2 linked regions of the Pelodiscus sinensis genome follow. Each later gene encodes a partner of the first gene's protein in a complex. Links are inferred from orthologs where the notes say so. Each region holds a gene or a part of one and is shown on either strand. Other genes may lie near its edges. The genes, in order: CAMLG and GET1.

Region 1 (15,323 bases):
AACCGCACACCTCCCCCACTGATGGGGTCCTACACTCCTTCGATGTCTGCAGTATGCACTGGCTTTCTACCCTCACACCTCTACCTTTCATACATTGCTGAACAGTCCAAACGTCAAGCCCTGTCCTCCATACAAATCTGCAAATGGGTCTCAGTGAGCATCTGTGGATGCTACCAATAATCAGGTGTAGCCCCCTTTCTGCTGGCATCACAGCTCTCTGTGCGTGAACACAAGCCACCACATTGGCCTCACTGCCAGATGTATGCTGGCAAGACTTTGTTATGCAGCCATCTGGCATTCTTGTTCCCAACGTACTATACCGTTGCACAAGTGGTAGCAGACTAGGTTGTACTGCAGATCATGCTTCCCTTGGGATCCTCACACCCTCCTCTACGCTGCCTGCTGTTCGCCAGTTACCTGCCTGTAACTGGAGGTTATTCAAGATACGTAGTCTGTATTCCATTATCCACACCTTTTGCTTTGGACTACATCCCAAGAGGATAATAGGGAGACTGGGAGGCATAACTTATTTACACCCTCGGTAGGGAGCATGAGGGGATGCAACACTCACATGTTGATCATTGGACGCTGCTGAGAAACTGATTCGGCAGGCATGCCATGCCTGCCTACCCACCCACATGTGCAATACAGATAGGAACCACACATTTTGAAGAACCTCCTTATAGTTAAGTAACTATTTCCAGCACACATGACTCTTTGTATACCATCTGTACAGTCTTACAATGACATTATTGAACAGCAAGCATGGCACCAGCTCTCATTTAATACATGGCACTTTATAAGTGTTGCACTTGATGGGAGTTGACAGAGTAGACCCTCTGCCAATTAGGTCTTATATAACATTTTTTAATGTTATAAAAATAACCATGTCGTTTAACATCAGACATTTAGTGAATTAAATGTGAACATTATCCAGCAGTATTATGGTATGAATGACTGAGGCCTACAGTACAGGCTTTTCATTTACCCTTTACAAGCTGATGCATTTATTTTTAAATATTTCACAATACTAGTTCATCCTGTAACTTTAAAAATACACAACTATAGGTCAATGAATGTTTTATTTCACTCAGTCATTTTATTTCTATTTCTAAGGGATGAAAGTCCGCTGAAATCAAGTTTCCTACAGAACATGATAGAAGACAGAACAGAATCTGCCTTATCATACTATGAGTTCCTCCTGCATATACAGCAGCAAGTGAATAAATGAACCACTGAATTTTGTGGCTCTCTTGCTTAGCGAAAATTTCTGCAGTAAAGAACAATTGTGCTTGTAATATCTTTTGTTTAAGTTTGTGGCCTGGTGCAGTTGACAAGAAGATCTCACTGTGATTTCAACAAAAGTAAAGCAAATAAAGGACCACAACTGAAAATCATATGTGCAACTACATAATATTGTACTTTTAAAAAAATCAAAATATATTTGAAGAGGTTGGGTATCTTTAATTTGCTGCAAATTATGTTTTTACTGTAGGCAGTTGCAGCATGAAGTACATTTGCAATATTGAAGCAAAATAAATTTTGTAAAATGTAGTTCAAAATGTATATTTCTGTAACTCAGTTTTGCTTTTTTTGGGGGGGGAGGAGCTGCTAGATTTAAAACCTCAGTATGATTGAGTTGCAGGGAAATTGTATTGTCTTTGATACAGTATATCCACTGATGAAAGACTGAACACTTGTTTTAAGAGAGCTAACTTGTATGCCTAAAGTAGCAATGAAACAATTCATTGTGAAATGAACAAATATTTGAAAATAATTATGAAAATTTTAGGATGCAATGTTCTGGAAATGGTTATGTTGGATAGATCTAAAGGTAGCTTAAACTGACCTAGATGGATTGAGATAGATTGGTCATTGAGAGAAGTAATTAATTAAAAAAAACTTTTAAATATATCATTATTCTTGTACCTGAAAGGCAAATGTGGCATAGTAGACTGTGTAAATTGAAAATTATAATCAAGTGGTCTGGCAGCAAAAGTGAGCTTGACACTGAGCCTTGTTCTTGTAGTTAAAATTAGTTTGGTTTTGTCTTCATAGTTCATTAAATGGCAGTCAAGTGGGAGAACAGAAGGCAAAGCATAGAACCACCTTGATCCTTTAGATTTCTGTGCTCTTGTAAGTTAACTAAATGTTAGGTCCCATAAACTTAATTTTTTTTGTGAAAGGAGGCAGTGGTGGTGACATTTCAACCTTAATTTATCAATATATGTTTGAAACAGCACTGAATATTGTGTTTACTTCTAAACCTGAATCCAACCAGAAGTAATCTGGCTCTTAAAAAGCTCTCAGAAATAATTTTGATGGAAGCAGTTAACAAGCCTAATTCTAGGGCCGTGTGCATGCCAAATACATATAATAATTTAACTGACAGACTTGCGGGTACTACAGTGAAACTGGACATTGGTTTTACAGAAAGCTGATATTTTTAAATGTAAGATGTGCAAAGTATTTGAGAAGTAAAGTACATTGGAGAGCAATCTGTAGATGACAGGTTGTTTCTCCTTATGTTACTTGATTGTTGCTCCTTATATGCCTATGAAAGAGCTGTGGGGAGGGGAGGAGAAGTTTTGTACCTTACTTTGTTTTTATTTTATATTAAGGCTCATATACTTACTGCAGACTTGCTAAAATCTTGTTGGGGTTAAGTAACTTTTCTTTGGTGAGTAAAATGTTTATAATAAAGGCAGACAAGTAGGTATTGTGCCTAGGCTAGTAAACTTGTGAAAGGTTTGCAAAGTGGATTTAACGGGACCTGATAGGATCACAGTTTCTACAGCCATAGCCTGTTTCTCTGCTCCAGTTATAATAAACTAATGGGAGTTACCTCAGTGCAGGGGAGAAGCAGCTGTTTCTTCATAGAAACATAGTGAACAAGTTGAGCACAAGAAAACCACTATCATTGTGTGCTGATTTATTTCTCCCAAAGATGATTTAAACACCCTGCCTACTGTGTCTACATAACTAGTAGAAATGTATTTCACAAAAGCTTTTTTTAAGACTGTGCATTATCTTCTCTCAAAATGAAAATATAAAGTAAGTATGTAGGGGAAGTTCTGTTTTAAAATTCACTAAATGACTTTTCTGGTTTCATTTAAATCTTATTTTTTATTATTTCTTAAATGAGAATCAGTCCTTCCGACAACCACAATTTTATGAAGTGGTAATCCACTCCAGGCATGTGATGACAAAATGTACCCATTGAGATGTTGGAAATAATCCATATATCTCATAACACACACAAAAGCCTGTGGTTTTCCTTACTATCACCACGTGCTTTGTCATTATAGTCCATAAACTTAATTTTAAAATATAGCATCTGTTTCAGAGAAAGCTTCACTTTATGTAAATTAGGTTAACAGCTGTGAATGTCAGTCTACATGCCAATTCAATGACCAACAACATTTCAAGTTATGATCCCTAATTTTTTTTATGCAAAGCTTATGAACAGCAAGCAAATTAACCCCATTTGGAGTACAGTGCTTTTGGAATGTCTATAATGAATTGACTGACTATCCTGCACTATTGAAAGTCTAGTTTAATTCCATGCAGTCAGAGACAAACCTCTCCTGCTTCAGTTTGTATTATTTTTACATCATTGCAGAGTAACACCCTTGTGTAAATTGCCTTTGTCATACTTCTCACTGTTTACAGATGTCAAGAATACTGTTTTACAATAAAAACAGACAAGGGTGGCCCTGGTTGTTATCTTAGTGTGACAACTACCATAGTACACTTACAATATTTTTCTAGTTTCTGAGATTTAACTATTTGTCTGACACATTAATGTTACTTCAGTCAACATCAGTACCATCCATTTTAATTTGTATACGTCTTTATAATTTAATATATTTGAATCTCAGTCTAAATAGACTATTTTGCAATAACTAGAATAAGATTTACATTTCTTTTATTCAGAGCTAATGTCTTAACAATTTATAATCAAAGATGCAGAATGGCTGTTATATAAGGGACCATCAAATGTGATTTTAAGCTTCTGTTCACTATTATGGATGTAATCCTTATACATTTAATTTTGTAAAGTAGTGTATAATATTGTAATATTAAATCCTTGTTTTCTGAAACTCAGACACAGATCTTCAGCGTGAAGTTATAAATCTTGCCCCTTCTGAATCTGAGACAGGATTTACTTGTCCTCCTTTTTACAGTTTGTAATTTTCACTGTTTTATTCCTGTAAAAAGTCATTTGTAACACATGCAAATGCTTATTTTATCTGTGCTAATTTAAAAGATTTGGCTACTCAATAAAACTAATTGAAAGTGCTCACAAAAGTCCATTAGTCCTTTTAGTTACACAAGTGGGATTCCATATTTGACCAATTGCTGGGTGACATTTTTTCCAATGGTTGCATTAGTCACTTCAGTAACAATAATTACCTAGCTAAAGAAGAAAATACTAACTTGCTACAATTGTCAGTTTTGTAAATTATACAAAGATTGGGGCACTTCATATTTCAGGAGTAAAAACATGAAGTATTTGTTATGTAATCACTGGTAAAATTCCACTGTTAGTTTAAACAAGGAAAATTCAGAATTACTGGCTTTTGAACTAGGGATGTCAATGTGTAGTCCACTGTATGATTAACCAATAAGCCTAGGTTTATGGGTTAATCTTATCAACTATAAGCATTTCTCATCCCCTCCCACCTCCTGCTTTAAATGCCAGCTCCCCTCACAGGTCTGTTGTGCTGCCTGCCCCTCCCATCGTGCTTCTGCCTTATCAGAAGCAGCAGCACGGGGAGGGGGAGGGATCTGAGTTCCCCGCAGGCAGAGGCTGGTCTCTGTCTACAGGAAGCTCAGAAAGAGAGAGAGAGAGAGAGAGAGAGAGAGAGACACACCCCTTGGACAGAGGCTGCTGCTGAAGCAGACTCTGTCACAGCAAGCCCCAGCACACCATGGACAGAGGCTGCTCCAGCTTCAGCCCTTGACTGTGGGGTTTGGAGCTCCCTGCAGACAGGGGAGGCAGAGCTGCCTCTGTCCACAGGGAGCTTGGATCTCTTGCAGACAGAAGCTACTGCTTCCCCATGTTGCTGCCTCTGTATCAAAGGCAGCAGCTAGTCTGCATAGGGAGCTGGTTTCTTAGTCCCCAGAGACTAGAAAAGTCAAGTAACCAGTAAGAATTCATGCATTTACTCAACTATTCAATTACCCAATAGCTAACATCCCTATTTTGAACCCCAAGTATTATGCCTTATTCTTTAAAAAAAAAAAAAAAAAAAAAGAGTACAGACACAGCTGAGTCATCTCTGGGACCCTTGAGTAGCTCCATCTGTACTGTGTAGCATGAACTTCAGTATTGACAAATACATAGGAAGGGTTCTATTCAACTGTCATACACAACTGCATTCTTAATTACTTAAGTCAACAAATAGGAGGCATGGATAACTCAATTCACTGTGAATTGAGCAGCTGTTTTCACTATTTTAGAATGTTTAAAAAAAAAAGGTTAGAAAGTAACATTGAAAATAAGTGTTTATATAAATCAAGGGTATTCTTTCCTAGAATGCTGTATTCAAATGTGATCAGGCTATTGAGGAAAAATAGCACAAATAGAACATACACAGCTGTTGGGTGTAGAGAAGGTAATTGGGATGAAAGGCCTACATGAAAGGCAACAGATCTAAAAGTAATGAAAGGAAATAATTAAAACTGGCTGGTCTACTCCATAATCTAAATCAGGGCTACTCAACTTTGGAAGCCCGGGGGCCACATTGATACTACACATGCCAAGGGCCACAACTTAAGTGTGGTTACATATATATTTGTATGTATATGCAAATAGCTTCTTTCACACTGATGGACATGAATACAAAGCACTTCCCACAATGCCCCTGTGCTCCCAACACCACCTACACAACACCCAGACCCCATTTAAATCAGTTCTGCTGATATTATTAAAATGCAATATTTACCTGATTTCCACCCATATAACAGCACTTTTAATGAGCAATGACAGTCCTGGAATTAAACTACTAAAATGCATATCAACAGAAAACCATTATACTGACTACTTTTTTGTTTTGCCTTCTACCTGCGGACCATGTGTTGAGCCCTGCCTACGTAAATCCAAACCATGCTGAGGGCCACGTGCCCCACCGGCCATGTGTTGAGTAGCCCTGATCTAAATCTTCGTTTGATGCATCTGGTACTGATCATTGTCTGAGAGAAGATACTGGACTAAGTGATTGATCTGATATGGAAATTTGTGTTCCAGAATGTAATCAGGACGTTTTATTTCCTATCTAGAGTCTTTAGCAGAATGACACTTAGTATAAGACTAGGACATTGGTTGAAGGAAAGATTCTCAGCTTGAATACTAACATGAATCTAAAACAGTATTTCACCTATGTATTTACTAGAAATGGGACTGCACTACTGAGGACCTGAAGAGCCCATGAGATTTTGAGAAGAGATGTAACTGGAATTCTTGTCAGCATTTTTCTCCTATCAGAGTTGTTTTCCAAGTATTCAGTCCTTTGAGATTGTCTGTACAGGCAGTCCCCGACTTACGCGGATCCGACTTATGTCGGATCCGCACTTACAAATGGGGCTTTCTCGCCCCGGAGCTCACAGGCAGTGGTCAGCCACCTCGACCTCCGGGGCGAGAAAAGCTGCTCCCGGTGCCCCTGGTCTGCTGGGGACCGTCTCCAGCAGACCAGGGGCACCGGGAGCAAAGCGGGTCCCGCGCCAGAGCAAAGCGGGTCCCGCGCCAGAGCAAAGCCTCAGAGGCGAGGCACCCCCCGCTGCCGCTTTGCTCCCTGTGTCCCTGGTCTGCTGGGGGGGGGCGCAGCTAGTGTGCCCCCCCCAGCAGACCAGGCTTTTGTTGTGGACCCTGGGGCAGAGCAGCTGGGGCGCTGCCGGTTGGTCCTGCAGCGCCGCTCTGGGCACTACTGGACCAACCCGGCAGCACCCCAGCTGCTGGGTTGGTCCAGTAGCGCCGAGGAGCGGTGCTACTGGAGCAACCCAGCAGCACCGCCCCAGACGTCCCCAAGTCAGCCGTTGCTGAAACTGACCAGCGCTGACTACAGGAAGCCCATGGCAGAGTTGCTCTGCCCTGGGCTTCCTGGAATCAGCTGCTGATCAGTTTCAGCAGCAGCTGACTTGGGGTTCTTAAGTTGAATCTGTATGTAAGTCAGAACTGGCGGTCAGTTTCAGCAGCGGCTGAATCTGGACGCCAGTTCCGACTTACATACAGATTCAACTTAAGAACAAACCTACAGTCCCTATCTTGTACGTAACCCGGGGACTGCCTGTATTAAGATCAACAGTGCAGTAATTATATGCAAACACATTCCCTTACATCATCATAGAATACTATAACTGGAAGGAACCTCAAGAGGTCATCAAGTCCAGTCCTCTGCCCTCATGGCATGCCCAAGCACCATCTAGTCCACATCATCCCTGATAGATGCCTATCTATCCTGCTGTTAGTGATGGAGATTCTACAACCTCCTTAGGCAATTTATTCCAAGCACCCTGACAGTTAGGAATTTTTTCCTAATGTCCAACCTAAACCTTTCCCTGCTACAATTCAAGCCCCATTGTTGCTTCTATCAGAAGCCAAGGAGAACATTTTTTCTCTCTCCTGCTATCATCTTTTTAATACTGACTGACACCTTTTACATTGGGATCCCTGGCTATACAATAGTTTATCAGACCAGATTAAAAAAAAATAAAGCTAATGTTAATGTATGATAATACAGAGGTTAAGAGTCCAAAGGCAGCACGTTAAGTTATTTTTGCCATCTCTCCTATAAACAGCACTATACTCCTTCCTATAAAGAACACGCAGGAAAACAAACTGTTATTTCTGAATGGGAAGGTACAATGGGGGAAGTACAGATTAAAATTCTCAATAGCCATTATGCAAAGAAAACCCAAAAATAGGAATAGTATTGAGCTAATTGAGGCATTTCAACCTGGCACATGGGCAGTAATTGGAGTTCTGTGGAAAGTGATTAAACTTGACCTAATGCTTCCCAGGTAAAATATTAGTATAGAGTTCCAGGAATGTTTCGTTTCTTCTGCAGTTCAGAAGTTGTAAAATGTAGAAATTACCACTGCATTCTAATGAATCTAGTCCAATATAGGAGAACATTACGTAGCTAAAATTGGCATTTTGCTACTTCCTACCTGTACTCTTACACACAGGTGCCTGTGCTAAAAACAGCTCTTTAAGGTTTGATGTTGATAATCTAGTCGGAGATGGTTTAACAGAAGAGTTATTAGAGCCACTTGTTTTTTTCCAGGCGCTTTCCAGCCCCGGCCAGTAATAATCCCATACCTTGAAGAACAAAGGCAAGCACACAGTGCCAGAATGGGGAAGAAACAAAAAACAGGACTATGTAGCACTTCAAAGTAGAATAGTGGTAGAAATGTAGCCGTGTTAGTCTGAGGAAGTGGGTCTGGCCCACGAAAGCTCATCATCTAATAAACCATCTTGTTAGTCTTTGAAGTGCTACATTGTCCTGCATTTTGCTTTAGCACTTCAAAGACCAACAAGATGGTTTATTAGATGATGAGCTTTCGTGGGCCAGACCCACTTCCTGAGATCAAAGAGTGGAAGAAAATTGTGACAGTTTTCTTCCACTCTTTGATCTCAGGAAGTGGGTCTGGCCCACGAAAGCTCATCAGGTAATAAACCATCTTGTTGGTCTTTGAAGTGCTACCTCCTCCTGTTTTTTGTTTCAGCTGCATTTCCATCAGAATGGGGAAGGACTGACTCTTGAGGGCTTCCCCCAGCACGTCGCACTTCCAGCAGCGAGTCACATGCTCGTGCAGCTGGAGCCTCGATCTGTGCAGGGATGTGTCGGATCCCTTCTGAGGTAACGCTGGTGTCCAGCAGAGCCCGCTGCCCTGGGGCTGACGCGGAGGGCTGGGGGCGGGGAGCTCCGCGAAGCGCCAACGGGCCGTAAAGGGCCAGTGAAACGAAGGCGCCTGACTCCGCTGGTGGGAGTGGGGCGTCCGCGTTGCCTGCCCCTCTGCTGCGCCGTCTCCTCAGGCAGCCAACGGGCGCCGCTTCCTTCACGGCACGCGGATTCTGGTCTCCCCTCACGGGCACCGCTTCAGCGCGACACCTCCCCACACGCTCCTTTGTGTCGTCATCCCGAGGCCGGAGCCGCCATCTTTACTCTGGGCCGCCGGTCCGAGTTGGAGAGGCTTACCGGCGCGAGGGCTTTCCGAGGTCCCTTGGCCGCTCCCCTTCCCCAAAATGGCGCTGCCTGCTTCAGCAGGGGGGCGGGGACGCTAGGCTGACCGCGGAGGTGACGCCTGCGCACTAAGCGTGGGGGGAGGTGGAGTGGCCTGTCAGGCCCCATTGTTTTGGGGGGTGGAGCCGCTCGTCGTGTTTCTGCTGAGGATGGAGCTGGAGGCGCTGGCCGCGGTAGACAGCGGCGGGGCCGGGTCAGCTCCCGGCCCTCACGGGGTCCCCGCGGGGCTCTCGGCGTCGCAACGCCGGGCCGAGCTCCGGCGGAGGAAGCTGCTGCTGAAGTCGGAGGAGCGGATCAACCGCATCATGGGCTTCCACCGGCCGGCCGGGCTGAAGGGTAGGCGGGGGGGCGGCGTGTGGCCTTGGGCTAGGGGCCGCTCAAGGAGCGGTCGCTCAGGAGACCCCCGAGCGCCGAGGGCAGCCGGACTGGGCCGGAGACTGCTGAGAGACTCCTCCCATTAAAAAGGGAAAGGGGAGGTGGCGCTGGCTTAGGTTGGAGGGTGCGGGGAGCCCCTTAGCTTTGGGGGCGTAGGACACACCTCGCCTCCTCCTCCCCAGGCTTCAGTAGCAGCAGCCAGGCTCTCGTTACCTCCTTGCTCGGCAAGACGAGGGGCTCAGGGCATGGAAAGTGATGGCATCTTCCTCCTCTCTGGAGCAGGGAACAGACTCTTCCCCACCAAGATGTGTGGGGGCATGACTCTGCTATCGATGGTGGTGGGGTTTTGTGTGTGTGTGTGTGGGGGGGTCCTCATTCCTCTTCTCCCCATACTGCTGCGTGATACCAGGTAACACACCCATAAGTACTGCAGAGATTGGAGGAGTCCACTTCCCTGTGCAGGAACACACCTCAGTGCAGCAAACCCCACGTGTGTGCGATTTCCCTCCGGTGTCTGGAGTGGAGATCATTTCACTGACCTCGGAGTCGTCTGCCCTCTGTAAAATAGGTTAGGTGACTGATACACACCAGCTTGTTGCAGTATTGAGCTCTTTTTTTCTGTGTGTCTTATATTTGGAATCACACTGCACTTCTTTTCAGGGCCCTTGGGTGTGTTAGGGTTGATGTTGTTATCTATAAAGCATAATGGATCTAAATATGGCTCCGTTTAAACACAAAATAAGACATGTTCCCCTTCATTTTGCCTCCTAAATATACTTTACAATTTAAGGATCTATGCTGGAAATCCCTCTTGACACAGAATTGACTATGATTTCAATTGAATTTTCTGCATTGGATGGGGTTGACAGGATTGTGCCCTGATGCGTTGATTATGGAGTTTCTTGGGCCCAAGAAAGAAAAGCTAATGCATCTTTGCTTCACCATTACAATATTAAACAGATTGGCTACGTCTACACTGGCCCCTTTTCCGGAAGGGGCATGTAAATTTCATGAGTCGTAGTAGGGAAATGCGCGGGGGATTTAAATATCCCCCGCGGCATTTAAATAAAAATGTCCGCCGCTTTTTTCCGGCTTTTAAAAAAGCCGGAAAAGAGCATCTACACTGGCCCCGATCCTCCGGAAAAAGTAGGAATAAGAGCCTCCGGAAAAGGGCGCTTTTTCCGGAGGATCGGGGCCAGTGTAGACGCTCTTTTCCGGCTTTTTTAAAAGCCGGAAAAAAGCGGCGGACATTTTTATTTAAATGCCGCGGGGGATATTTAAATCCCCCGCGCATTTCCCTACTACGACTCATGAAATTTACATGCCCCTTCCGGAAAAGGGGCCAGTGTAGACGAGCCCATTAAGTTTGGTTTGGGTGGTTATGTGAAACTATTATAGGCTTGGTTTCATTATAATAACTGACACCACAATTTTTAACATTGTATAAAAGATACAGAAAAACAAAACCAGTAAAAGAAGATGAAATGTACAGTTGTAAGTCCTTTCATTTTAACAATATTCTTGATTCCTTTTAGCTGTATAGTTTTTTTTTTTTTTTATAAGGAGAAACTCCTGCTTGGATAGTTTTATAGTTGACTTCAATGGTTTCCTGTGCAAATACAAAATGTATATCCATGGATTCAAATTCGAGAACATGTAGCTGCAGGACTGTACAGAGAATGTAACTGTGAAAGTGGCAGCATGTTGGGCCATTGCTTGCAGAAGCCACCACCCTGTGTAGACAGCTCCTCTGGCATGGCTGTATCACCCAGTAGGGCATGGCATCAGGTTCACTGGCAACTATCCCTGGTCACACTAGCATTTGCAAGGGACTTACACGTTCCCAGGCAGGAGTCCCTTCCATGCAGCAGAATTTATACCAGTAACATTATAGTGTGACTGTTACTCTTCTTACCTATCCTTCCACATGCTAATGTATTTATTTGAAGCGTAGTAATTTATCCAGGTAATGCTACAAATAAATATCTGAGCATGTGGGAGGATGGGTAAGAAGATTAAAAGTATGAAGAAAAAGGAGGAATGGTTATTACTACAGTGATCCCCTTCCAGTGCAGTGATGGTGAGATAAGATATTAGGATGGTTTAATTCATACATAGAATTTGACTTTCAAAATCCAAATTTGTTTTTTTTTCTCATGTCAGGAATTATTATTCAGAAAAACGATGTAAATGATATTGGGTGCTTCTATTGGACCTTTCAATTCATTGTTTTTTTTAAAAAAAGAATCATTAGCTTCTCTGGTTCTCAGTTTATGTGTCTACTAGCACATGACTGCTCGGGTTGCAAGTGAAATAATGGGGTAGTGGATTTGTTTGGAAAATAAAAGAAAATGTACATGCTTTGTTTAAATTATTGTATTTTTCAAAAAAAGAAGGAAAAATAAGTTTGGATTAATAAAAGAAGGAAAGTGATTCAAACATTAGAGCTTGTTGGTAGACAATATTTGCAGGTTTTCTGACATCTGTACCACCTGTCTCCTTTTTATTTTAGCAAGAGTGAGGACAGGGGTTAGGAGAGCTGGTGGGAGGAGGCTCAGGGCAGGGGGTAGGGGATGCTGGAGTGAGTGCAGAAGTGGAGGCATAGGGTTTGGTGTGAGCGGGACACAGGGCAGAGGATGCAGAATTCAGGGAAGGTGGTGGGAGGTGCAGGACTCAAGGCAGGGAGCTCAGGCCAGGGCGCTGGGAGGCCAGGTGAGGGAAGCTTATCAGGGCTGCCCATGGTGGTGAGGATGGCACTGCTTCCATGGCACCTCCTCCCGGGGGGCCAAGGTGCGCTCTCTAGCCAGTGGCTACCCCTGGGGGGCCAGGGATGTGAGGGCCAGTCCCAGCCTCCAGTTTGTCCAGGGATGTTGCTCTGGGGCCCAGCCTAGCTTCCTCTGCCCTTCAGCTGGTCCTGAGGGGTCAGAGGTCAGCCTTGGCCTCCAATGCCCTCCCTGTCCTGCAGCAACCCTCCTGTTCTCCCCAAACTGCAGCTGGTCTGGGGCCAGGCCCAGGGGCCGGGGGGAAGCTCTTCTTGGGTGAGGGAGGCTGACTAGGTCGCAGTCCATGTCATCTCCTCTAGACTGTCTTTGTGGGGGAGGGGAGAGACAGCTCGTGGGGGAGGGCCAGGCTGCACTGCCCAACCCCAGGGATGAACCCATGAGAGTCGGTGTGGGGCAGCAGCTCATTCCCTGGGAGCGGGGCAGGAGCAGGGCTGCCAGGGGGGAGCTGGTACATGCCAGGAGCCAATTTAAAAGCCGGCTTCTGGCATGCACTGGTCCCTGAGGAGCCGGCTGCCGCCCCATGCTGTGGGCTCTACAGTATTAACAAATCTGTTAACTTGAGAGTAACTTTAGAAGCTCTGTAGTGTGTGTATATATATATTTAAAGGTGCTGTCAAGTAACAGATTTTTGTCTTAATGCTGAAGTTGGCTTTGTTATGCTTTTTGTCCTGCCGGAGACATGGTGTAATAGTCTGCACATAGGAGCAAGAGTCAGGAACTCCTGAATTCTAATCTTAACTCTCTAACACAGTTGTCTTCTGTGGCTTAGGGCAGGTCATTTAACCACTGCCTCAATTTCTCTGTTTGTTTGTAAAATGGGACTGCCGATAGTCACTCGTTTACTTCTCATTTACTTCTTCCTTTAGAAAGACTAACTAATTACTATTTATAAATGCTGTGAAGAAAAACTTGAACATGTTGTCAATTGTAAGACTGTGGTTTCACAAAAGTGTTTTAATACATTAATCTGATGCCCAAAATCAGCTGAGAGGCTGATCTAAATATTCATGGGGAATAACATTCTCTTTTGTTTCTCCTCTTCAGATGATGAAAGTCACACAGAATCAAAACTTCAGCATGAGCAAGATAAACCAAACTCCCTCCCTATTCCTGCAGTTTCAAAGCGAATTGTACTTGGTGATTCTGTCTGTAATTTGTCAGGAACATCTGACCATGCAAGTGGCATTATAGAGCTTAAGGGAGATAAAAAGGACTTGTTCAGTAAAGCGCCTGAGCTTGGTAATGATGGTACTAGTGAGCTCCGGCATCGCAGCAGAGGGGATCTGGTATCAGAAGCTTCACAGAGAGCACCTCGACACAGATTAGATCAATACTTATCAAGATTTGATGAAGCTATGAAGCTAAGACACCAGCTGATGAATGAGAAGCCTAATCAAGAGAACGGAAATGCAGGGGAGGAATTTGATTCTTTTCGCATTTTTAGATTGGTGGGATGTGCACTTCTCGCCATTGGAGTTAGAGCTTTTGTATGCAAGTACTTGGTGAGTTAAGGAAAATTTTTTGCTTTGTTGCTGCAAATCCCACGTTCATGTCACCTCAAGAAAAGGACTAAATTCATATATTTAGGATCCTCCTCTGTAGATGGTGACTAGATGAGTAGAGAACTTCTCTTTCTCTTGGTCCACCGTATAAGGCCCTGAGTAGTACGTCATTACCTTCTTGGAGTAGGTACTCATCTTAGTACCTGCAATGTCTGGGTAATGCAGCCACCAGGTGGCAGCTGAGATCAGTGCAAACTATAACTTCATCCCCTCTAGACTAGAGACTAAGAACATTAGCACCAGACTGCTTCATGCATCTGCCTGTGTCTCCAGCTGGAATCTCATCTAAAAATATGTAGCTAGCACAAATTACCACCCTCTAAGCAATTGGGTTGACTTTAGACAGCAGTGATATTGTACCTGTGGCAACAATAATTGGTAAATCAGTCTTATCTCCTTTCAGGGTCAGGGCCTAAGAGAATTATGCAGATATTCCACCTTAATGGTTAAATGTATCTGTTTAGGCCACTAGTGTTCATAAACATAAATGATTTTTCAGTGCAGTGACTTAAATTTTATTACAAATAATTGGCATTTGCCTTGGAGGAATACGTTTATTCTTGTTTTATTTTGTCTAATTTTCATATTTTCAATCTTTACAGTCAATATTTGCTCCATTTCTTACTCTACAACTTGCATATATGGGACTGTCCAAATATTTTCCAAAGGTAAGATCAGTACTTAGAAAAGATTAAATTAAAAAGAATCTAAATTTAACTTTTGCAACAATAATTTAGAGTGGGCCCAAAATGCACTTTACAAACAAGTTTTAAGTGACTGATTGATGTATCAATATGGCTTCTTTTCATTTTAAAGTAGTGAAATGAAAGACACCTATTGTTGTGGGTTAATGCATTAGCCTTTAAGTTGTTAGGATCTTAATTCAAATCCTCTTAAAACCTCAAGTGAAAATGAGTTCTATTTTCTTGCTCTTCTACCTAGCAAACATTTAGTCATAGCACAATTAAAAGCATCTGATCAGAACATAAAGTTAGTTCTTCCTTGCATAATGTAGCATTTACCTGACATCCATGCAGTACTTACCTGTAATTAGTGGTGTGTGGTTTCTTTGAGATCTTTGCACTCACGGAATTTTTCCCCCTCAAAGTGAACTGAACATTGGGCCTTCATTTTCAAAGTCTCTGAATTCATTTGCTTAATAATTGTTTAAATGTGGGGTCAAATTCAAGGTAGAAGACTTTGAAATGTGAGAATTTATTTACATGTGTAACTTCCTGCTCATCAATAGGAAACTGTATCCTTTGCTTTACATATCTACCCCAGTTAATTACAATGAAGTGTGGTAAAGGAAAGTCAACCAGTGGTTGATCTATAGTTTAAAATTATAATGTTCC
Region 2 (15,595 bases), on another chromosome or scaffold:
TCTTGTCAATTTATTAAAGTAAATGCTTTTAGTCATGTTGCACTTGCTGTTCAAAAGTCCCTGTGTAACAGTGTCAAACAGGTTATTTCCAAATCCTGAAATCATAAAGATCAATGTTTTGAGATGGAGCAAACCCACTATGCACTGGGATGCAATCCGCATCCTGTGAAAGGAACCATGGAGTTGGATGGAGAGATCAGTTGGCATACTATCATGCACAGGAAGGAAGTATACCAAATCTGTTGTGGCCAAATGGGAGTTTTAAGGATGACAGGGGCTTGTTTCCCCCTGTACCTTGTGGAGCACTTTGATGCATCCCATGTGACAATAAATACAGCTCACAGAGAGGCCCGTCCCAGTACCGCTCTCCAGCAGAATTGAGGGCAGCAGGCATTTTGTGACATATTTATAAAAAATAAAAAAAAAAAAAACAACAAAAAAAAGAAGAACAAAGACACACCCACACACACCAAACAACCCACACCCATTCTCTGGTGGGTAATCCCCAGCAGCTGAAAGTGAGTTGAAGGATTCGTGTATCCAATTCCCAGGGCTCGACAAACAATGCAATCTACTCGCCTGTGGCAAGTAGACTGCAACCCGGAAGAGCGCAGCTGAGCCCTGCCAATTCCCATATGTGAGAGCAGGAGATTCTTCCTTAATGAATTTGCAGTGGTGTACTGATCTCAAGGGAGGTATGCAGCTGAAATGGTAATGTACTAAATGCACCAGCTCCATAATTTCACTGCCTTCGAGCATAAAGAGTGGAAACTTGCTACATCTTACTTGTAGATGTAAAACATGCAGATGCTATAGTCCATCATGACACTGATGTTGGGCTATACAAGCAGTGGGAGGAAGTGCACTGTGGACCATTCGTAGGTTTAGGATATTGATTTGTAGGGTGGATTCGGTTAAGGATCATCTGCCCTGCATGCTATGATCGTGAAGGTACACCTCCCAACTGATTAGAGAGGTGTTGAGTGTTGGAATTATGGTTGGCACTAGGGATGTTAGATATTGTTTATTTTAATAATCGTGTAGCCATAATTTTTAGTGATTATACAATTACTAATCAGGGGTAGGGCCAGCAGCCAGTGCACTCTTGGCCCTACTTCCGGGCAGCCCTCTGCCACCTTGTGCTGCTGCCTCTTCCTCTGAGGCAGCAGCAGCCCCTGTCCACAGGCGGGGCCAAGCTCCCCACGGAGAGAGGCTGCTCTGGCTCCCACCTCCCCCCCCACCTTGTTGCCTCTGATAGAAGCTGCAAAGGGGGGGGGTGGCTGCGCGTGCATGTTGTTAGGATTAAGCGATAAATCCTATTTTATGGGTTAATCCACTATATGCTAACATCCCTAGTTGGCACTGGTTAGAGGAAAGGAACCCCAACACAGAAACACTTGGGTTGTGTCCAACAGAATTCTAAGTCCTTGACTCTCATCAGCACAAATAAGAGCTTGTTGTGGTTGTTTGTGAAGGATATATACTGTATGGACCTGTGCCTAAAAACACTGCATGTATAACCATTAGAGCTTTACCAGAAAACTGGCCTCTGCTATGTGGTTGAATAGTTGGAGGTATATCCAGGGCAGAAATCTGAGAGCAAGCTTGTGCCTTGGATACAATATCCCTAAGGATAAAATCTGTGAGGCTCTGGCTTTTATAGTATCTATCTGGTGCCAGTGGACTCCAGATGTTGTACTGCCATTAGACTTCTCTAGGTTCACAAGGCCTAGATTCATAAAAAGGTCAATTGTCACCTGGAGGGCACAGAGCATTGGTGTCGGATGTGGCCTTGAGAAGACTAAGTTGTGGGGTCATCTAAGTATGCCTTGTTTCCTTAGGTAGGCAACAACTACTTCAAGAACTCTGAAGAATACCTGAGAGGCCACTGATAGTCCAAAAGACAGTATCTTGCACTGATGAACTGGTCAGTGCCCATGATCAATCAGAGAAACTGTCTATTGGCAATGCATCCTATGATATGGAAATATGCCTCTGGGAGATCAATGGCCAGACCCTGTATTTTAGTACTGGGCTAATGGTGGAGAGGGTAACCTAAACTGCAGTGCTTCAAGATGGTTTTCAAGGTTCAGGATCTAGATTTCTTCTGGATCTGAAAATAATGGGCATAAAAACACTGTCCTCTATGTCGGGAAGGAACTGCTTCTGATTCCCAGCACAGCAGAGATTTATTTCTTCTTATACAATGGATTAATGAGAAGGATCCCTGAAGAGGGATTGAGGAGAGAGGATGGCAGGAAAGGATAGAAAAGAAAGGGATGGAATATCTTTCCCTGACAATCTTTAGAACCCACTTGTCCAAGGTGATTAAGCTCCATGATGGAAACAACAGTTGCCATTCTGATAGTGTGTCAAAAATAGGTAGTATAACTAACAAGGGAAGGCTTTTTTGGGCCTCGACATCATCTTCAAAATTGTTGCGTGTCTGGAGTAGCCCCTTGAGGACTGGTCTGTCTGAATTTGGTAGGGGACTTCCACTGTTGGCGCTGAATATTATAGTGTCCCTGGAAGTGTACAGCAGTGGTCACGATTGCAGGGGAACATGATACTTTCTCAGGCATCTTTCCATCTCTGGTATGTAAATGCTGAGAGATCAGAGAGCAACTCGGGAGTAGGGATGTTAAAGGCTAATCGACTATCCGATAAGCATTTGCTTATCAGATAGTCTGCTGATTAGTCAATTCCTCACCCCCCTTGTTGCCTCTATGAGATAAAAGCAGAAGGGGGGGCGGTACTTTAAAGCAGCAGCACCGCACAGCTGAGCCAGGGATCAGCTGTGAGGCACTGCCATTTTGAAACCCCAAGGTAGCATTTCAAAGGGGCCGCCGCTGCACAGCTGATCTGCCGCTCAGCTGTGCAGCAGCGCTGCCCCTTTAAAATGCCAAAGGGCCATGGACCCAGGGTCAGCTGGGGATTCCCCAGCTTATCCTTGGTTCTGGGGAAATGCCACGCCAAGTGCTTGGAGTTTCAAAGAGGCAGCGCCGCACAGCTGAACCAGGGATCAGCTCTGCTGCAGCTGCCCCTTCCTCTGCGCACTTCAAAGGGGCAACCGTGGAGCCCAAGGACAGCTGGGGACTCCCCAGCTGATCCCAGGCTCTGCACAGCATTTCCCCAGCTGACCCTGGATTATGGGCAGTGCCCCGCTGACCCTGGGCTCCATGGCTTTGAAATGCACAAGAGCCCCTGCTGGGGACTCTTGTACATTCCAAAGGAGGAATGCAAAACTCCGCGTGCAGCCCGGAGTCAATAGGACTTTCCAAGGGCCTTTGGCTGTACACGGCGTTCCGAATTCCTCCTTTGGAATGTACAAGAGCCTCCGTTGGGGCTCTTGTACATTTCAAAGGAGGAATGCAGAAGTGCCTATTGACTAGTTGATGGAAATTTCACCGACTACTCAACTAGTCAATTAACCACATTTTAACATCTCTACTCGGGAGTATAGGCAGTTATCGATACCCTCTGTGAATATTTTGGGTCCCTCAAAGAGCAAGTCTGCTGTGGTTTGTACTAGGAATGTGAAAAGGTAAACCTGTAGACCATTAACTGATGAGACTGGGCCCCATCTGTTAACCTTCATGGTTACATGCACCCCCCTGCACTGCTGCCGCTGATACAGAGGCAGCAGCTGCCAGGGGTCAGGCAGGAGCCAGCCTGCTCTTCTCCGAATGTAAACGTGTCACTGCTGAATTTTTCAGCAGTGACACGTTTACCTAGGGAAGATCATTTCTGGCCCCCCTGGTACCTGTCCTCCCCAGTTGATGCTGCAGACAGTCTGAAAATAACTTTAAAAAGTCTACTGAATTTGCATCAATTATCTTTCTAGAACAGAGATGAAGAATCTTTTTCATGGGAGGCGGGGGGCACACACACCAGTGAGAAAAAGCTCCCAACAAGGGGGGAGAGGGGAAAAGAAGTATAATAGCTCTCACTCCAGCCCCTGAGTGAGTGGGGCTGCCCCCAAGGTTCGGGACTGCCAGTGCTCTACTCCTCTCCTCCCAGAAGGGGAAGGGCACTGAAACTTGAAGAGGCCCAGATTGCAGGTCATAGGTTCTAGAGTATTTCTTTGCAACCACGAAAGCCAGAAACCATATAAGCTTTTCAGAATAGTCTGGAATAAAGCCACTGAGATAGAAAATTTTCTATCAACTATTTTAAAAAAAATTAGTTTTAACATGATGGAATTGAGATATTTCTTGCTTTCTGCAGAAAACAGTTTTTTGCTCAAAGGTTTTGGTCTAAAACCAGTTATAGCGCTTCACGAGAGCTGTAGCAAACTGCAACTTCTATTGAGGCTCTATTGCCTCATTTGGCTGCAATCTTATGAGTTTTTACTGAAAGCAGTTTCACAGAAAATAGAGTGATAAAAATGAAAATCTTACGTTTTCAGATTAAAAAATTCCAATTAATTTTCACAGCTGTTCTGATGCCTACATATCTTCCAGTAAAGTTAATAGAAGATGTATGGCTAAATCTCCTAGGTTGCAATACGCATTTACACCTGACATTTTGCAGAAACTCAATCTGATGTAAGGTTTTTGAGCTGTAATCAAATTGGATGGCGACAGATGTGTAGATTAACTAGTGTATTACATTATACGAACTCTTCATATTCAAGAGACAATCTTTTGTCTAGGTTAAGACTAAAGCTACCACTTTACCTCCACACTATTTGTTTCTCCATTTTCTGCAGGCAAATTGTCCTTTGTTTCTTCTTGGTTAATCTCCTCAATCTGTTTTCCTTTTGGTCCCTTTTTCCCCTTTGATTGAGTTTTCCTGTCTTGAGATTTATCCTACAATAAAGTAAATGTAGGAATTCAGATAACCTTTTAAAACAAGATGGTTCTTAATTTTCAATATTAAAAAAAGACCTAAAAAAACGATGTGCTCCATAGCCAATGAAAATTTGTTTTACAATATATAGAAACCATCTCCCTTCCAGAAGTAAGAGAACTTAGTTTTTGATTTCAGTCTGACCTATTTATAAGAAAGTCAATAGCAATTTCTCAGACGCCACAACCACCACATGTTTTTCTATGAGTGGCAAACTGTTTGAGAGTCCTAACACTGAGGAAAATACATGTTGGAAAAGAGAAACTTAAGTATGTTGGTAGAGTTGCACTAACCAATTTACTAAGTCTATGACTTGATCATGCTAATATTTTAACAAAAAATAATGCAAGCCCTTCTACGTCAGAAGCACCAAAACACATCAAGCTTTTGTCCTCCCCCTCTCCCCCCTATATATATATAAAAATAAATTTATTTTGGGACAACATAGTGATGCCATCACATCACAGCATCCACAGCCTGGGGGGAGGGGAAAAGGCATGGGCAGGTAATGCCTAGCTCCCAGCCCTGCCCCTTCTGCCCAAGACCCCACCACACACTGCCAGCCCAGCCACCAGGGGATGGGATGGGATGGGATGGGACGACAGAGCTGGGCATGGTGTGGCCGCCGTGGCACACACAGCTGGGGCTAGCTGCAGCCAGGGCGGATAAGGGGAGAGCTAGGGCTGGTGCGGCTGTGGCTGAGGGAGAGCTGGAGCAGTAATGGCCAGAGCCAGGATTGCTGTGGTCGTGGCCAGGGGGAGAAAGTCAGGGCTGGTGCGGCTGTGGCCCGGCCCTCACCAGTAGCCAGAGAGAGGGGGGTTGATGACCATAGTGAGCAGGGGGCGCAGCCTCCTAGTTGTAATTTAATAGCACAGTAAAATATTTTCAAGAACACATTCCACAATCAGTGGAAGGAGGTTGTATATTTTTGCCCAAACTCGTATGATTAAGCCAGAGATTCTCTCTGACCAGATGGATTCTTTTATGTAAAAGTCAGTATAAGTTTCCCAACAAACTTTATCATTTAGTTGCAGTCTAAAGAATGCCTCAGCTGAGTTTCATAAAAGTAAAAATTTAATACTTTTGTCTAATATTAATTGTATTAATACCAATAACTATAAATGAACAACAGATTAAGACTTACTAGTGTTTTAGACGAGAGCAATAAGAAACCAATTAACAATACTGTATTAGTAAGAAAATAGGCTAAGGGGAATGCGCTACCTTCACTTAGCTAAAAATTCTATCTTTTAGATATGACACTGCTATACAGGCAGTCCCCGGGTTACGTACAAGATAGGGACTGTAGGTTTGTTCTTAAGTTGAATCTGTATGTAAGTCGGAACTGGCGTCCAGATTCAGCCGCTGCTGAATCTGGACGCCAGTTCTGACTTACATACAGATTCAACTTAAGAACCCCAGGCATCCCCAAGTCAGCTGCTGCTGAAACTGATCAGCGGCTGATTCCAGGAAGCCCGGGGCAGGGGCTTCCTGTAGTCAGCCACTGGTCAGTTTCAGCAGCGGCTGACTTGGGGACACCTGGGGCAGAGCAGCTGGGGTGCTGCTGGGTTGGTCCAGTAGCGCCGCCACTCCTCGGTGCTACTGGACCAACCCAGCAGCACCCAAGCTGCTCTTCCCCAGGCGTCCTGATTCAGCCGCTGCTGACACTGACCAGCAGTGGCTGAATCAGGACACCTGGGGCAGAGCAGCTGGGGTGCTGCCAGGTTGGTCTAGTAGCGCCCAGAGCGGCGCTACGGGACCAACCGGCAGCACCCCAGCTGCTGTACCACAGGCGTCCGGAGCAAAGCCGTGGAGCACGGGGGCAGCGGGACAGCCCAGACGCGCCGTGACTGTCCTGCTGCCCTCGGGCTCCCCCGCTTTGCTCTGCTTTGCTCCCCGTCCCCCTGGTCTGCAGACCAGGGGGACGGGGAGCAAAGCAGAGCAAAGCCGCGGAGAGCGGACAGCCCAGACGCACCGTGGCTGTCCTGCTGCCCGCGTGCTCCCCCGCTTTGCTCTGCTTTGCTCCCCGTCCCCCTGGTCTACAGACCAGGGGGACGGGGAGCAAAGCAGAGCAAAGCCACGGAGCCCGAGGGCAGCAGACAGCCCAGACACGTGTGCGCTGCCCGCGTGTTCCGCCGCTTTGTTTCCTCTCCCTGGTCTGCTGTAGACCAGGGAGAGGGAGGGCCCCGTTTGTAACTGTGGATCCGACGTAAGTCGGATCCACGTAACTCGGGGACTGCCTGTACTTCAAAATTTCACACCCATTTTCTTGTATAAACAGCATTATGCAAAAAGAACAGAACTTATCCAATACAACTCCAGGGGCATGTCTAGACTGCCCACGGCTTTCAAAAAGATATGCAAATTTTGAGTGAAATTTGTGTATCTTCTTCCAATCCCATTTTCGGAAGAGTTTTTTCAACGGAGGGTGGGGGGAGGCAGTTTAGACGCAGTTCTTTCGAAAGAACCCTGTATACCTCATTTTTTAAGGAAGAAGGGCTCTTTTGAAAAAAGGGATTTTTTGAAAGGACCATGTCTAGACCGTTTTTTTTTTCTTTCAAAAAACACCCACCTCTTCCAAAAACGGGATTGGAAGAAAATATGCAAATTTGCACCAAATTTGCATATCTTCTTTTGAAAGCCGTGGGCAGTCTAAATGTGCCCTTGGTATTAACACACAAATACTATAAGTGAACAACAGCAGATCGATTTCTGGATGGAATAGCCATTGGAATCAACACATTTTTTGAGAATATTAGCAGAATTCAAGATACACACATTTAGTTATTCACAGCTTTCCTACTTTTTCCATTTAAAGCATTCAGTATTATATAAAAATGTAAGAGACTTCTAATTCACCAAATCTTCATGTGTCTATTTCTAAAATCGAGGTCAAGAAATTAGAAAAAAAAATTAATTTGAAGATTTAAGGCAGATACCCCAAGTAAAACTGTCTGAATTCATTTGTATACTACAAGTCTACTGATTAGGTCTGTTATATACTATATGTACTTGCATCACAAGTACATTTATAGAAAATAGTGTCAGAACAACACTTGTTTCACAACTGTAACAGCATTGCTATAACGTAAAATCTTTATTTTACATAGTCAAACTCAATTCAGCCAAGACTTGGTTCACTAGGAAAGTGGATATTTTCCCTAATTCACAATATGTCTATGTACCAAAGTGTCTTCACAAACTTCATCAGTACAGCTGCAACAATATATATGTAGACATGCCCTGAATTAAGGCTGAATACAAGTTCAAAAATATTTTGTTAAGTCAAACCATACACTTCTATGAAGTCTTTTAAAATGCAAGTACATAGGCACTTTTCCCTTCAGTTAACATTAAATATTGCGGCATCCAAATGAAATCTGTCCTAGAGCCAGCCCTGTCACCCAAACGGTAGATCTGTGCCATTCACAGGTGTCTCTCACTCACCTTCGCTGCTGCTGCTGCCGCCGCCGTCTTTTTTGGCTTGGGTTCGGCTTTGGCGGGGGCAGGTTTCTGCAGAGAGAGGCAGGTTTAGTGCTCGCCCCTCACACCGCGCCTAGGAAGGGGGCAGCCGGGGGCGTCTATACTTACAGCAGACAAGCGCGCAGACCGCCTCTTGGGCTAGAGGGAGAGACAGAGACAGCGTGAGAGTGGGGCGTCGGGATCCAATCCCGGCCCATCCCCCCCGTGGAGCCGGCACTTACCTCCTCCCGCGCCTCCCCTTCGGCCGCGTTCACCTGCGAAGAAGCGAGCACAGAAGTGAAGGTTCACGCGTGCGCAAAGCCCAAGTCCCTCAGCAACACCGCACCCACCCTCTCTTTCTCCAGGGGCGGTCTCGGCTCTGTGACGTCAGGACGCACACGCCCCTTCCCGCCGCCGCGTTCGGATTTCGAACCCCCCGAGTGCTCTCGCGTTTAGGGGCCACAGAAAATTCGAACGGCGCAGCGGCCTCGAGCCCGGGAAACGCCCCGCGCTAGGCTGCCGGGCCCGCCCATGGCCGCCGATGCCCCAGGCCGCCATTAGACCCAAGCTCCCCCAGGCCCGCGCGTCCATCTGCCGAGTCTGCGGCGCCAGGAGCCCCAGGGCGCGCGCAGCCTGCGGCTCCTTCCCTCACCTTTCTCTTGGGCATGGCGAGGCGAGCGGTGGCCTCCGACCAACAACCGGCTGCTGCTAACGCCTGAGGTCTGCGCTACTGCCCGCGCTCGGCCTGCCCGCCAAGCTGAGTCTCCTCGCTGCAGTGCTCGGAGCCCGCCCATCCCCCCATCCCATCAGCGCCAGCGGCTCCGCAACAGGATCCAGCCGGATTGGGGGGGGGGGCGGGGGAAGGGGGCGCGCCCATTGGGCCGAGCCTCCCGCGGGGCTGTTTTCGAATCACAACAAGCCCCTAGGGCGGGCCCTGTCACTTGTTCCAGGGCACGGGGCGGGGCCCATCGCGCCAGCGGCTGGGGGCTGAGCACGCCCCTGATTGGTCAAGGTCTCTCGCATGGCGACGCCTGCCGTTCGCTTTCATGCTAGGGAGGCGGGGGGGGGGCTGGGAGGCGGATGCGCACGCGCAGTGCGGGGAAGAAGCCGTTCGGTGGCGGCTCCTCGCGCGTGGCCGTACCGGCTGCCCGGTGGCGGTTGCGAGGGAGGGGGGTGGGCGGGCAATGGCGGAGGGCGGCGCGTGGCTGCTCGTGCTGAGCTCGGTGTTTCTCTGCAACCTCCTCAAAATCCTCCTGCCTTCCTGCTCCTCCATCGTAAGTGACGTCAGCGCGACGCGCTCCCTCCCGCCTTAGCAACCGCCCCGGCGAGCGGCGGCGCTCAGGGCCCTTTGTGGCGGGGCCGCCATCCCGAGGGCTTTGCCCGGGCCTGGGAGAAGCAGCCCGGCTCGGAGCCCGGGTGCGGGGCAGGGGTGCAGCGCGGGGCTGCCGCTGCCCAGCTGTGGACATTGCACCCGGCTCTGTTTTGCAGGAGCCTGCGCCAGCGGGGAGGTGCCCTTTAAAGCCGCTGCCACGGGGCTTCAGCAATGGCCACTAAACCCAACTGAGCTCCTACAGGCTACGCCTACACTGCAAGAGCTATTGGGGGATACCGGAGTATCCTGCGCCTTCACCGCAAGCGCCTTATGTTGGGCTCCCTATTCCAACGACCCTATAAACCTCAATCTATGCAGAGTAAGGGACGTTTCGGAATAGCGGGTTATTTTGAAATGTGGCACTCACTATAGACAGCTTAGTTCATCATTTGGCACTATTTCGAAATAAGATGGAAATAGATGCAATTTGCACAGCTCAAATTGCATCACTTATTTGAACTGCAGCAGTGTAGACATAGCCATAGAGCCCCCAAAACTACAGCCTAGAAAAACTAATACATTAGAAAATAATGCTGATTAATTGGTACACCTTATCTGGAGCACTTTAGTACCTCATCTTAAGAACAATATTGCAGAAATGGAGTTAAGACAAAAAGAATGATTAAGGGAACACACAAACTTGTGAAGAGAGTTCAAAGATGGATAGATAAGAGGGAACAGGATAGAAGTTTGTACCTGATCAATAGAGAGATTTGGATCATCTCTTCTCCCTGTCTGGTAATACCAGACAAGGGCACAGCCAGTGAAATTAAAAGTTACCAAATTAAAACTTGTACAAGGAAATATGTGTAATTAAAGCATTAAATTAAAAGTCACGAGTTTCTGAGGCAAAGAATTTAGCAAGATTTGAAGAAGGGCCTAGATAGTTATATGGATAGCAAGGATATCAGATAAAATAAACATAAAAAACTACAAATAGTCTTGCAACACTTTAGAGACAAAACAATGTAGATAGTATCATGAGCTTTTGTGGGCACAACCCACTTCTTCAGATGAAACTTCTGATGCTCATGATGCCATCTACATTTTTTGTTACTCTACAGTGCTGCAAAACTATTTGTTGTTTTTTAAACTTATTCAGTTAGGGTACTTCTACCCTGGATGGCTATTTCGGGATACTGGAGGCATCCCGAAATAGTTACCCTGAATCTACCCAAGCCGCCAGTTATTTTGAAATATTTTTTTAAATAAAGAGCTTGCTATTTTGCCATCCCGGTAAACCTCGTTGTACAAGGGATAAAGGATGGCTCGAAATAGCACATTATTTTGAAATTTAGCACTGTGTAGACATGCCAAATTTCAAAATAAGCTATTTCGAAATAGATTTGAGATAAGATACACAATTTGCGTTGCTCAAATTGCATATTTTATTTTGAGTTTAGGGTGCTGTGTAGACGCAGGCTACCCCTCTAAAACTTTTGAATCAGATGTAATACTTAAAGCTAACCAAAAATTTGGAAGGGATATCAATGGTTAAGTTAATCTCTGATTACTAGAGAATAGGATGAGCTATAATAAGGGAGTTCCAGGTGGGTATGCAGACAGTTTATCCCACTTCTGCCTAGCCACTGTAGAAAACAGGATCCTGGACTAGGTAGACCTCAGGTCTGATCCTATATGGCAATTCCAGTGTTTTGAAGCATTTAACCAGTTTGTAACAATGTTCCCTCTTAATTTTTCCCAACCATATGCAGAATAAATTTTATTTGTGTGCACTGAGGCATGTGTGAACGTACACCACCAGAAGAAACACATGCTACATTGTCCTGCATTTTGCTTCAGCTACCCCAGACTAACACGGCTACATTTCTATCACTATGCTACTGGCTGTGGGCGCTCTGATAATCTGCTGGACAGCATTTGAATTTCTCTAGAGCAGCAGCATGAGCGCACAATTTACAGGGAATGCTGATTGATGCTATGTTGTACAGCCTGTGTATTTATTCAAGATTTTTCTGAGGGGATGGGTGTAAAGTTGATTAATTTGTTTTGCGAGGTTTTGAGTCTTTTAGCTGATGCTGTGAATTTTTTCTGTGGTATTTGCTCTTTATTGTGTACACTTGATCTTAGCCAAAAGGCTGATAATTCTGAGTTTCTTTCCTTTGTAGATATCCAGATTGCTACAGAAGGATGCAGAGCAGGAATCCCAGATGAGAGCTGAAATTCAAAACATGAAGCAAGAACTCACAACCATTAGTATGATGGATGAGTTTGCAAGATATGCCCGACTGGAAAGAAAGATCAACAAAATGACTGACAAGCTTAAAACTCATGGTAGAATGCAATATTTACCACTTGTTCCGTTTACCTAAAAACACTTCTTTTTCCAAGTATGTGTTTTTATTTTGACTTTATTTGTCCTTATTTGCAGAACCTTTTCCTTTTTTTGTTTTTAAGTTTCATGGTTTGGTTTGGTTCAGTTTTGTTTTATTTTATTTTATTTTATTAAGAATAACACTGAGAGGGTGGGGTTTAGAGTCTCTCTGAATTGCAGGGTGTTATATAAAAGCTTTTCAGAGGAATCCACACAGAAGCTGAGGCAGAAGGCAAGTTTTCATTTTTTTTGTCTCTGAAAAAACATTCCAATTAGTACACCTAGGCTATGTCTACACTACAAAGAAAAGTCAGAAAAAGATATGCAAGTTGTGAACTGCAATTTGCATATCTTTTTCCGTTTTTCTTCCGAAAGAAGCTTTTCTGATATTTGTCCCGTCTACATGGGGCTAAATGTTGGGGAAAAATCCTTTTTTGGAACATCCCTTCTTCCTCATAGAACGAGGTTTACAGGAATGCTGAAAAAATGCGTCTGCTTTTCTGAAATTTGTTTTCAGAAAAGCAGACGTGATCCTTGGACACAGCAGAGCTCTGCAGTATAGACATAGCCTTAGACTTTTTGAACTCAAGTCAAAACAGCAGCGTGCCTTTATGACATGGAAGTGAGCCACTAAGCCTATGTCTTCACTGCAAAAAGGTATGGGTGTTTTTCTATAAAGGTGTGTCCACACTTGTACCCTCTTTCAAGAGAGGGATGCAAATGCAGACATTTGAAATTGCAAATGAAGCCGGGGTTTAAATATCCCGCGCTTCATTTGCGTATTTGTGTTATGGCGCTATTTTGAAATAATAACATGCTGTTAAAACACGGTTACAGGCAGTCCCCAGGTTACATGGATCCGACTTACATCGGATCCCTACTTACAAACGGGGTGAGGTAACCCCGTACTAGCTGCTTCCCCCCAACAGACCAGGGAGACACGAAGCTAGCGCCCCCCCCCCCCCCCCCCCCAGCAGACCAGGGAGATGCGGAGCGGCTTTTCTCAGCAGACACCTCAGCTTGAGAATAAAGAATTGAGGGAAGTGAGGTGTGGGAGAATAAAACTGAGCTCTGGAGAAATGTTTGGCTAGAGTTTCCCTTACAATATGTACCAGTTCCGACTTACATACAAATTCAACTTACGAACAAACCTACAGTCCCTATCTTGGACGTAACCTGGGGACTGCCTGTATTTAGAGAGAGAACCCTTCTCTCGAAATAACCCTTATTCCTCATACAATGAGGTTTACCAGTTATTTCGAGAGAAGGTTTTTCTCTTGAAATAAGTGCGTCTAAACGGCGTCTGTTATTTCAAAATAGCACCATAACGTGAATATGCAAATGCAACACGGAATATTTAAATCCCGGGTTCATTTGCAATTTTGAATGTCTGCATTTGCATCCCCGTGTTGAAAGAGGGTGCAAGTGTAGGCATACCCTAACAGAATATTTAATGCATGTTAGCAATCCATTTCAAAGTCTCATTGAAGACAAGGCACCCACTGGAGATTTTACCACTAAGTAAATGCTATGCCCTATGCCTGTGGTTGACCTCGCCTAGATTTACCTCTTGGTAATACTACAGTGCATTGTTTCTAGGTATGTGAACAACTAGTCAACTAGTTGCTCTCCCCCTTTGCTGTCTCTTTCAGAAAGAGGCAGGAAGGGTGGAGGAAGGAAGAGGGGGTGTTTCAAAGCGGCAGAGCCGCATAGAGCCCAGGGCCAGACCTTCGGCTCCACACAGCACGCTGCCTTGAAACAGTGCGTGCAGCCTGGGGCCAGCTGGAGACTCGCGCATGGAGCCCGGAGTCTGCCATTTTGAAATGCTGCGGAAAGCTCCCCGCAGCACTTTCGCCTTTGAAATGAAGCAACAGCGGATGCGCCCTTATTAACTAATCACATAGTCTATGCAAATTGCATCAACTATTCGATTAGCTGATTAATCTAAATTAACATTCCTAATTGTCTCTACAAAGCTGTTTAATAAAACTTTTGACTGCTGGACCACCATGTTTTAAATGGATTTCTTATATTGTTCTGAGGCACCACAGCATTTGAAACTCACGTTGAAAACTGTTTTTTCAGGTGTAACATTTGGTTGTCTAGGTTGTACTTGCAAATCACACTAAAATGATTTTTCATTCTGAATGAGATTCAGCTAGGCTAGAAAGTATTCTTGAAAACATTCTCATGAGCTCAAATGGTGGAAAAAGGACAATAATAGGATCCCTAATGTGATAGCCTGTGACTGCTAAAAAATTGTGCACTACTTCTGAGGCATAGGAAGTAGTCTCCTTTGTATTTAATCTAAAATAAGTTTTCACAGGTCAGCAAGCATAGAGATTCCTTTTGGTTGAGGATAGAACCCTTGGTTATAGCCTTCCTGTCCATAGGACAGTTCAGGGTAACCGCCCTGGGCCCCTCATTTTGGGGGGCTGCAGAAGCACTGGGCCAAGGGTGGCCCTGAGGGATTTGCAAGGGGGTCTGGCACCAGCATTGGGTCAGGCTCACTCCTGCACACACCAGTGACGGCAGAAAGCAAAGCAACCCGCTGCTGGCTCCTAGTTTTGTTCTGGGGAGGAGGCTGGAAGAAGGTATGGAGGAGACAGGGGTGGAGCAGGAGCTTGGGTGAAGGAGTGGAGGTGGGGGCAGGATGGGTTTGGAAAAGGTGGAGTGGGGGACAAGGCCTGGGATGGAGGGGTGTCCTGGGCCTCACAGGCCCATAGAGATGTCCCTGACCATAGTTATACATTACATTACTTTGTCTAGTACACTACTACAGTATTTCTAACATTCTCTCGAGTAACTTTGTTTAAGAAAGTAGCACTTCCCTCACAGAGGGATACCCCATAGCATACACTGATACTTTGGGTAATGAAAAAAAGCCTATGTTTTCCTTTAATAAATTGCCAGTGAAGGCATATAAATGGGAATATAACTTTTGTGCTGAATATTTTTACTTGGAAAGTAAAATATTAATAATTTACCAGTTTGAGGTAAGAATGTTTACTATTATATAAATACTACAAATGGCAATATTTTTTTTTCATAGTGAAAGCACGAACTGCTCAATTAGCCAAAATAAAGTGGGTGATAAATATTGTATTCTACATTTTACAAGTAAGTAACATTTTCTTATGATATAATGCAGATTACTAAAATACGTACAATGATATTTTACCGTTCTGCAGCTACTGGCTAATACAATATCTACACAATGGACCTTACATCGACACAGCTGCTGCAGTTATGTTGGTCTAAAGTCTTTTGGATAGCCGCTCTTTGCTGGTGGGAGAGAGCTCACCCAGCAGCATAATTAAACCTCCCCCAATGAGCAGCAGTAGCTGTGTCGGCAGGAGACACTCATGACATAGCACTGTTCACACCAACACTTTTATCCTTGAAACTTGTGTCAGTCGGGGTGTGGTTTTTTCCACACATCTGACTGACAGCTTTGCTGATAAAAGTTATAGTGTAGACAGAGTCATAGATGTGTATCTGACATTCTGACTATGTAAGAAGCTTTATCATGCTACATATAGGCTATGTCTACACTACAAAGAAAAGTTGGAAAA

What was found.
Region 2: CAMLG (region 1) and GET1 share a complex: the UniProt entries of both Homo sapiens proteins name them as parts of the golgi to ER traffic (GET) complex. The link is inferred for Pelodiscus sinensis from reciprocal best matches to the Homo sapiens genes CAMLG and GET1.

The regions. Positions count from the first base shown.
Region 1 is NC_134727.1:28,794,144-28,809,466, forward strand, and holds the start of CAMLG (guided entry of tail-anchored proteins factor CAMLG), read left to right. Parts: upstream 1-9,312; 5' UTR 9,313-9,397; coding exon 9,398-9,584; intron 9,585-13,450; coding exon 13,451-13,908; intron 13,909-14,570; coding exon 14,571-14,636; intron 14,637-15,323. Other genes in the region: protein transport protein Sec24A, read left to right, coding at 1,117-1,231. UniProt on the Homo sapiens protein: Required for the post-translational delivery of tail-anchored (TA) proteins to the endoplasmic reticulum.
Region 2 is NC_134711.1:188,075,225-188,090,819, forward strand, and holds the start of GET1 (guided entry of tail-anchored proteins factor 1), read left to right. Parts: upstream 1-9,394; 5' UTR 9,395-9,497; coding exon 9,498-9,587; intron 9,588-9,632; exon of another isoform or gene 9,633-10,004; intron 10,005-11,814; coding exon 11,815-11,980; intron 11,981-15,072; coding exon 15,073-15,140; intron 15,141-15,595. Other genes in the region: HMGN1 (non-histone chromosomal protein HMG-14), read right to left, coding at 4,680-4,811, 8,299-8,364, 8,443-8,472, 8,556-8,588, 8,966-8,980. UniProt on the Homo sapiens protein: Required for the post-translational delivery of tail-anchored (TA) proteins to the endoplasmic reticulum (ER).